2 linked regions of the Oryzias latipes genome follow. The protein of the gene in region 1 purifies or fractionates together with the protein of each later gene. This does not show direct contact. Links are inferred from orthologs where the notes say so. Each region holds a gene or a part of one and is shown in the gene's direction. Other genes may lie near its edges.

Evidence for each region.
Region 2: the proteins of rexo4 (region 1) and rrs1 purify together in Homo sapiens (co-immunoprecipitation; 3 studies listed by BioGRID and IntAct, with this or other methods). This does not show direct contact. The link is inferred for Oryzias latipes from reciprocal best matches to the Homo sapiens genes REXO4 and RRS1.

What each region holds. Positions count from the first base shown.
Region 1 is NC_019877.2:8,249,225-8,253,728, forward strand, and holds the start of rexo4 (RNA exonuclease 4), read left to right. Parts: upstream 1-1,415; 5' UTR 1,416-1,687; coding exon 1,688-1,903; intron 1,904-2,016; coding exon 2,017-2,336; intron 2,337-2,408; coding exon 2,409-2,555; intron 2,556-3,594; coding exon 3,595-3,788; intron 3,789-3,890; coding exon 3,891-3,979; intron 3,980-4,061; coding exon 4,062-4,136; intron 4,137-4,248; coding exon 4,249-4,323; intron 4,324-4,414; coding exon 4,415-4,504. Other genes in the region: pigp (phosphatidylinositol N-acetylglucosaminyltransferase subunit P), read right to left, coding at 802-883.
Region 2 is NC_019878.2:17,066,320-17,069,720, reverse strand, and holds rrs1 (ribosome biogenesis regulatory protein homolog), read left to right. Parts: upstream 1-1,685; 5' UTR 1,686-1,755; coding exon 1,756-2,772; 3' UTR 2,773-2,893; downstream 2,894-3,401. UniProt on the Homo sapiens protein: Involved in ribosomal large subunit assembly. May regulate the localization of the 5S RNP/5S ribonucleoprotein particle to the nucleolus.

The sequences.
Region 1 (4,504 bases):
CCATCCAACCAATAAAAAAGACAACCTTTGAGGAAAGTGTAAATATTCATTTATAAGCAACAGAGTTATGTGATATTCCAAATTGAAATCTTTTTAGAATTATTGGGATTATTAGAAGAATTTTCTTTTAAATGAGAAAAAGACAATCCAATTTAAAAGTTAAACAAGACTTCTTCATTTGGCTTAATACAATTTTGCCGACTTATTAAATTGTGTAGTTTTAAGCCTAAATATGAACATAACAGGCCTATTAAAAAAATCCTACTTTTTACCCAAAACAACAACAACACACAACTAGCGTTTTAAAGTAATTTACAATATTTAAGTCACTACCATCCTGCCATCTTTCAGCTGAATTTTTAAAAATATATATAAACACAATAACCTTTTACTAATGTATACCTTGAGATATAAATAACTTAAAAAAAACTAATTATTGAAAGAATTCTATTGAGAAAAAAATCCAAAAAGGCTTGTTTTTTTTAAGTGAAGTCACATTGAATTAATGGCAGTCTGTTTTTCAGGTGGTCAACTATTTATCACCCTAGTAGTAAGGAGATTTAAATCTCCACCGAGAAACGGTTATTCTATTTTAACTCAAGTGAGTCGTCCTGCACATTTACAAATTTCAATGAGATTAGATTTATGGCAACATAAACAAAAGGAACAGAATGTCTTTGCTATATTACCAAGAGCCGTAGAGATAAGTAATTCCACAACATTTTACGTTGAATGACATCTTCTGCAAATAGAACTATGCTTCTAATTTGAAAGAACATGATGTGATGGGACTTAACTTACAGAAGCCAAACTGGGAGCCAAGGAAGAGAACAAACCCATAGATTGCTCTCTCTGGCATAGGTGATGGGGAGTTTTCAACCATGATCTGAAACCAGAACACAAACAGACCATCTATTGGGTAAAATAATCGAAAATAAACAATGACAAAAAGTCACTAAACTTACCGACAGATAATAAGTGTATTTTGGTTCGTAAGAAGAGCAGCAAGTTTACAAAAACCCCTAAAAACAGTTTAAATGTTTCTCAAATAGCTTGTTTATATCGTACCATCAGCTAGGTTCAACGATAGATAAAATCCAATTCTACTATTTCAAACGAAACATAAATAAAAATGTAAAAAGTGCATCTAATCATATTACGCCAAAACCTAGCTGACTGCTGTCAACAAAACGTTAGTCCATCACCTAAATGAGTTCGGTCAGAAACTGTACATCAGGAACAAAAGACTTTAAAGAAATAAAGCAAAATTACATATCAATCTTGTGTTCTTTGTTAGTAATGTATAGATATTAAAAACTATTTTCAAGCTTGAAAAAAGAAAGAAATAAAAAAATCAACGAAGGGAGAACTTTCTGCCGCTCGAACGAATCATGTTACTTTTTTCCTGACGAACATATTTGACTGTTACTCATTCCAGAAGCACCGCAGCATGGCTTCGTGAATGTGAAGGTAAACAACTTGAAACATAATTTTTCCCTGTTTGGGAGGATAATAAAGTGGCTATTTTTGCTAATAGAAACAGTGTGTGCCCTTTATCTGGGATACATATGTATGTGACACAGCGTTAACTGTTTTCGTTTACATCTCACCTAAAATTGGCTTCTTTCAAAAACGTGGCTGTGTAACACAGCAAATACTCCCTGAAGTTTAAAGAAGTGCGACCACGATGTCTAAAATCAAAGGAAAGGAAACTCCTGCTGGAAAAACGCAACAGCTGACGTCCAAAGAAAAAAGGAAGAAGTTTTTTATAAAGCATAATCGTAAAAAACAAACTTCCCAAAAGACTCTAAACAAGAAAAATCTAGAAAATCCTGGAGCAAAGCAAACTGCACCACCACAGGATCCCCAACAGTTTTCTTCCAACTGGAAAGCATTACAAGAGGTTTGTCTGACGAATATTAAACTCTATGCTCTTCATAAGCTGTGCAACTACTTATGTGAAAATGTATTTACTTTTAAAATGTAATTATCTTCTTTGTTTCCTGAACATGGCAGATCTTAAAGAGCAGTCAGCCAGAGAAGAAGCAGCCTGTTACACCAAAACATCGGAATGGTGTCTTCCCTAAGAAGTTTAAAGGAAATGAGCCTAAAAAGTTTCAAAATAAGAGCCCTGCTCCCAGCCAGGTGCACACAGACAGAGAGGGAAAAGTCAAAAGTGGCGATGCCCCAAAGGAGGATGGGGTGAAGGCAAAGATCCACGCCGCCTTAGACAAACTGCAACCTGGTGGTGCAAGGAAAAGGCAAAACGAAAAGACAGACAATGAGAAACCAGCCAAGAAAAAGAAGCCCGTCACTGAAGAGAGGAAACCCACAGAGTATGTATCCTTATTGCTAATACTTGACTTCAGTTCGGGTTTGCCTTGTAATCTTTGCTTGTGCTGCTGTAGGGAGGACCTTTGGTTTGATGACGTCGACCCTGACGATATTGAGGAAACGATGGGAGCCGAGGCTGCAGAGATCATGAGGAGGAAACAAGGCATGAAAACAAGCAAGAACGTAGATAGCGTTCTGGTAAAAGAGAACGCCTTTGATGGGTAAGAGAAACTGTTTTGTGTTCTTACGGTCAAAATGCCACACCTTCATTTGCTATCGATCAACTCTAGTTGAAATTCACCTTTCTTTATAGAGCTCTTTTCCTGTTAAAAAACACCTCAAAGTCTTTTACATAAATAAATAATAATTATATTAGTATTTATAATAAACACATGTTGTGTACAAAAACTAGCAGGAAAAAATAATCCATAAAATCAAATTAAAACATGAGGAAATGTAAAATCGACATAAAAGCTAAACTAAAAAGGTGAGTTTAGGCCAAAGTTCTGCCATGTGGCCTCGCTGTGGGTTTTTGTTTATGACCTCAGGGAGCACCAGCATAACTGGATCTGAGGGCTCTGGGAGGGTCGTCTGCTAACACCAGCTTGATTAAAATTAAAGTGCAATTTCATTAAACTAAGAAAAGTACCTTAAAATCGATCCTAAAGCTGACAGAGAACCAGATATTTCAAATTTGGAGTCCTTCTTTTTGTCCTGATATTTTTTGATAATTTTTGCTCAACAATCATTATTATAGTATATTGTTTTAATCTCATCTGCTGCTCTTCTTCATCATTGTTTTCTTGGTCGGATGTGTAAAAGTGTTGAAAAAGTCCATTCCTAGCAACTCTTTAATCTAGTGGGATACTTCCCGTGTGTGTTGCTCTCTTTGGGCATAAGTATGAGTCTTAAAATCGTCGGATTGTTTCGCAATTGCTTCCTGATGAATATGCAGCCATAGCTGTTGCAGAGTTTATGCTCATCTCAACCTGCAGCAGACTGGCTCCAACAGACTCCCTAAGTGGAAGTAGTTGGAAAAACAGCCGTTGCCTTTTTAAACAAGTTTTTGAAAAAATCGGTATAGTTGTCAGTTATACCCCAATAACATCAGATGTTCTCTTACTTCTCTCAAAAGAGAAAATGATTTAATAATGTTTCAGGTGATTTCTGTGGAGAAACTTTAAAACGGGCAGCAGAAAGACTGGACTGTTTCATTAGATGACCTTTTGTTTTCTCCACGTTTGTACGTATGAATATCAGCATCACCAAAGCTGTAGCTATTGATTGTGAGATGGTGGGAGTCGGTCCAGATGGGGAGGACAGCATCCTGGCACGTGTGTCCATCGTGAACCAGTTTGGAAAATGCATCTATGACAAATATGTCAAACCCACAGAGAAGGTGACAGACTACAGAACAGCTGTCAGTGGGATCCGACCGGAACACATTAAAAATGGTAAGAAAACGAGACATCACTGTATACTTAGATGTTTATTGCTTTCAAACAATCCTCTGTGCTTTTGAACAGTGTCAAAATGTGATTTTTTTTTTTTTACAGGGGAGGATGTGCATGTTGTGCAAAAGGAGGTGGCTGAAATTCTGCAAGGAAGAATTGTGGTTGGTCATGCAATTCACAATGACTTAAAGGTATTGTGTTGCCTTAAAATAAATGTGTGCTCCAATAAAACAGCTGTAGCTCTCCTCTTACAGAGTCTGTCAACTGTTTCAGATTCTTCTCTTGGATCATCCAAAGAAGCACATTCGGGACACTCAGAAGTATAAACCCTTTCGGAAGACTGTAGGGGTAATTATAGAAAGTTCTTTTGTTTTTACTGAGACTTACTGGTAGATCGTCTGTGGAAGGTTCCAGACCTCATCTTAATAAGAACAAGTTTATAAATGATTTTATATTTTAGAGCGGCCGACCTTCGTTGAAACTCCTCTGCAGAGAAATCCTGCATGTGAAGGTGCAGCAGGGAGAACACTCTTCTGTAAGTTGGAAATAAAATACATCATTTTTCTTATTCTGATAATGATAAGAGATTGAAAAAAACAAAAACAAACATTTTCTGTGTGTTGCAGGTCCAAGATGCTCAGGCCACCATGAGGTTGTACACTTTGGTGAAAAAACAGTGGGAAGCAGAGTTGAAAGCAAGCAAGAAAAACAGCGAC
Region 2 (3,401 bases), on another chromosome or scaffold:
ATTATTGTTTCCTAAAGATGGATTGATAAGATATTATGGAAAACAGTTCTCTCATGTGTGATTTTTTTCTAGACTAAATTTAGCTATATAAAACTTTTTTTGAGGATATAAAAAATCCGATTGACCTCTGATTGAAGGATCATATTCAGTTCCCGCACTAAACTCCACATTGTTCCTGGTGGTTAGACTTGGTTTGGCGCCATGTATGTAGCAGAGGCAGCACCAGTGTGGGAATGTGAGTGTGTATGCGACTATAAAGCGCTTTACACTTCAATTAAGGTAGTGAAGCATCATATGATGAGCACCATTTATCATGACAGTTATTGTAAGAAGGTGTTTGCAAAAGTGTCCTGCGACAGACTGGCGACCTGTCCTGGGTGTGTCCCACCTTCGTTCAACAGTGGCAGGGTTAGGCTACGGCATCCCCATGACCCAGAAAGGGTTAAAGCAAGAAAAAGAATGGATGGCTAGATGTGTAAAATTATTTTTTGATATTAATATTGGCAAGAAAAGTCATAGAAGTTTTACCTTTTTTCTGAGAACAAGTATTCCCTTAGTCAGGTGTGTATTGTAGCCATTTGGCTAACATTATATATTGTATTTATATTCCATGCATGGATGCTCCTGTCCTGCCTTGGTCATTTAGCCATTTGAGTTCCCTGTTGATGGGTGCATTTTGGAGATTGCCATGTCTTTATTAACATGCGTTTGGATTTTAGAACTTTGGAAGCATGACATTATATTATTCTTAGGCCATGTTCAGACTTTTGAATGCTATTTTGGGGGGTTTTATTGTAATTTTTCACTGTTTGAGTTCACAAAATATTTGACAAAAAAGGAAGAACATTGACCGTTTCTTATGAAGCAAGCATCAGATACGAGGCAGTTCCTGTTCCCCAAAACACCTGAATGACAGCAGTTATAGTGTTTTGTAACCTACAAAAAATATTGAGGGATAAATTAGGCTTATATTTTTTAAAAGATTAATATTTTAAGCTCTGCCAGGTGACACAACTGAAGGAAACCAAAATTATCGATGCCAACTCACTTTAAATGTGTATTTAAATAAATATCACAACTGAATGTCCATAAAATTCAAAAACAAGTATTGCAAACATGGTTTTATTTTGAAAAATTTTGCATATTTCTTAGCTTGACTGTATTTTGACACATAGAGTTGAAATTTTGTTGAACTGTCACCGATGAACTGTAACTGACTTTTTACCCCAAAAAAAATGCGTTTACATGTTTTTTTCTGTCTAGTTTAGCTAAATATATATCTTTTTAAATAATGTATATACACCCATCTGGAGCTTCTGTGACTGTCATCATCTGTGGTTTGATGTCTGTAGTCCACCTGTTGAAGCGCCCTAAGGCTACAGACTGAACTTAAACTTGACCCTAGTGTTCATTGGTGTGAAAAAGAGAAAAGAGCTTAAAAATGTTGCATGAATGTGGCATGAATTTAGATTTTTTTTATTAATATAGTGTATTTTATGTGTGTGTTATTATAACAAGTTGTATACATTGCATTAATTTGTTTGTTTTTTATTCAAATTTAAATGTCAAATTAGTGGAACAACATTGCCCTCTGGCAGCCAAATTCTGTATTATACAAGAAAATAAAACAACACTTCCCCCTGATGGTTACCGGTGGGAATTAGGCAACACTGCCTCGTGCGGTGAGACAATGAACTACACCGTGACCCGGAAGAAGACTCCTGTTGTTGCCCCACGTGTGTAGTGGTCGAAATCATGGCTGCGTGCAGCGTGGAGGAGCTGTTAGCGAAAGCCGAACAGGAGGAGGCTGAAAAACTGAAGACCATCTCCGTCCAGAAGGAGCTGGATTTGGACTTTGACGTGGGAAACCTGCTAGCTTGTGACAAAAACCGCATCGAGTCCAGGGACTTCAAAGAGCAGAATAAGGAAGACTTTCTCCGGTCGCTGGCCCGCGACAACACGCAGCTTCTTATCAACGAAATCTGGAAGGTGCCGACCGAGAGGGTCGAGGAGGCGATCGTAGCCAAACTACCGGAGCCGACGACCCGGTTGCCCAGAGAGAAACCTCCTCCGAAGCCCAAACCCCCGACGAAATGGGAGCAGTTCGCCAAACTGAAAGGCATCCAGAAGAAGAAGAAGACGAACCTGGTGTGGGATGAAACGGCCAAGGAGTGGAGGAGGCGCTGGGGCTACAAGAGGGCCAACGACGACACCAAAGACTGGCTGATCGAGGTTCCGCAGACCTCCGACCCGAACGAGGACCAGTTCGCCAAACGCGCCCATGCCAAGAAGGAGAGGGTGGCAAAGAACGAGTTCAACAGACTGAAGAACGTCGCCAGATCTCAGAAAATAAAAAACCCCGGTGTGGGGCTGCTACCCCGAGCCAAGCAATCCAAAGACGAGCTGAGCAAAGCTGTGAGCGTGGCCAAAACCTCCACGGCATCCGTGGGCAGGTTCCAGGATCGCCTCCCAAAGGAGAAGCCCCCCAAGAACGCAGGCAAGAGGAGGAAGTTTGAGCCCCTCATCGGGGACTTCTCCAGCGAGAAGCACAAGCAGCTGGAGCTCCTGAAGGTCATGGACAGCAAGAGGCCCAAGCTGGACATCACCAAAGCCGTCAACAAACAGATGAGAGAGGAGGACAGGGAGGAGGCTGCGTCCAGGAAGAAGGGAGGCAAAGGGGGAGCCACCCGGAGGCCCAAGGGGAAGGGGGGCAAAGGAAAAGGAGGCAAAGCTGGAGGAGGGAAGAGGAGAGGGAAACCTGGGAAGCGCTGAAGAAATTCTCTACATCCTGCTGCTGCAGAGCTGAACTCTGAGGACCGATTCCTGCTCCCCATAGCTTTTTGACTGTACTGTTGACAGAAAAGCAAATATATTCTACAATTTAAATACAAAAGTCTGCCGTTTCAGTTTTTTTTTACCTCCAATAAATGTCATATGGTTTTCAAAAAAAACTTATTTCCAATGAAAAGCTAATTTTAAGATTAAAAGAAATTCTGTTGCATTTTTCTCATGATGGAGGACATAAATAAAGAAATTTTAGATTAAAACTGCATTATTGAGTATTTCTTTATTCAGATCCTTGTGAATCAGGAGCAGACAGAAAATGCTGTTTGATAAATCCCTCAGTTGTAACGTAGAAACTGAACTGGGCAGACCAAAGTCTCCCTGCTCCGCCTCCACTTGCACACAAAGATGTAGAGAAATGTGAGGCGCTGTAATCTAGTGGGAGAGCGTGTAAACATGGATGACGGAAAGTGGGGGTGGACATACTCTGCAGCAATAGTTCCACCTACTGATGAACTGCTGCTCTGCACAAATTCTTCTCTAGAAAACAGCATTTGATTTTTCTATTTAGCCTAAAAACGGCATAGTCATAGTTGAAAAGACCGCTAGGAACACCC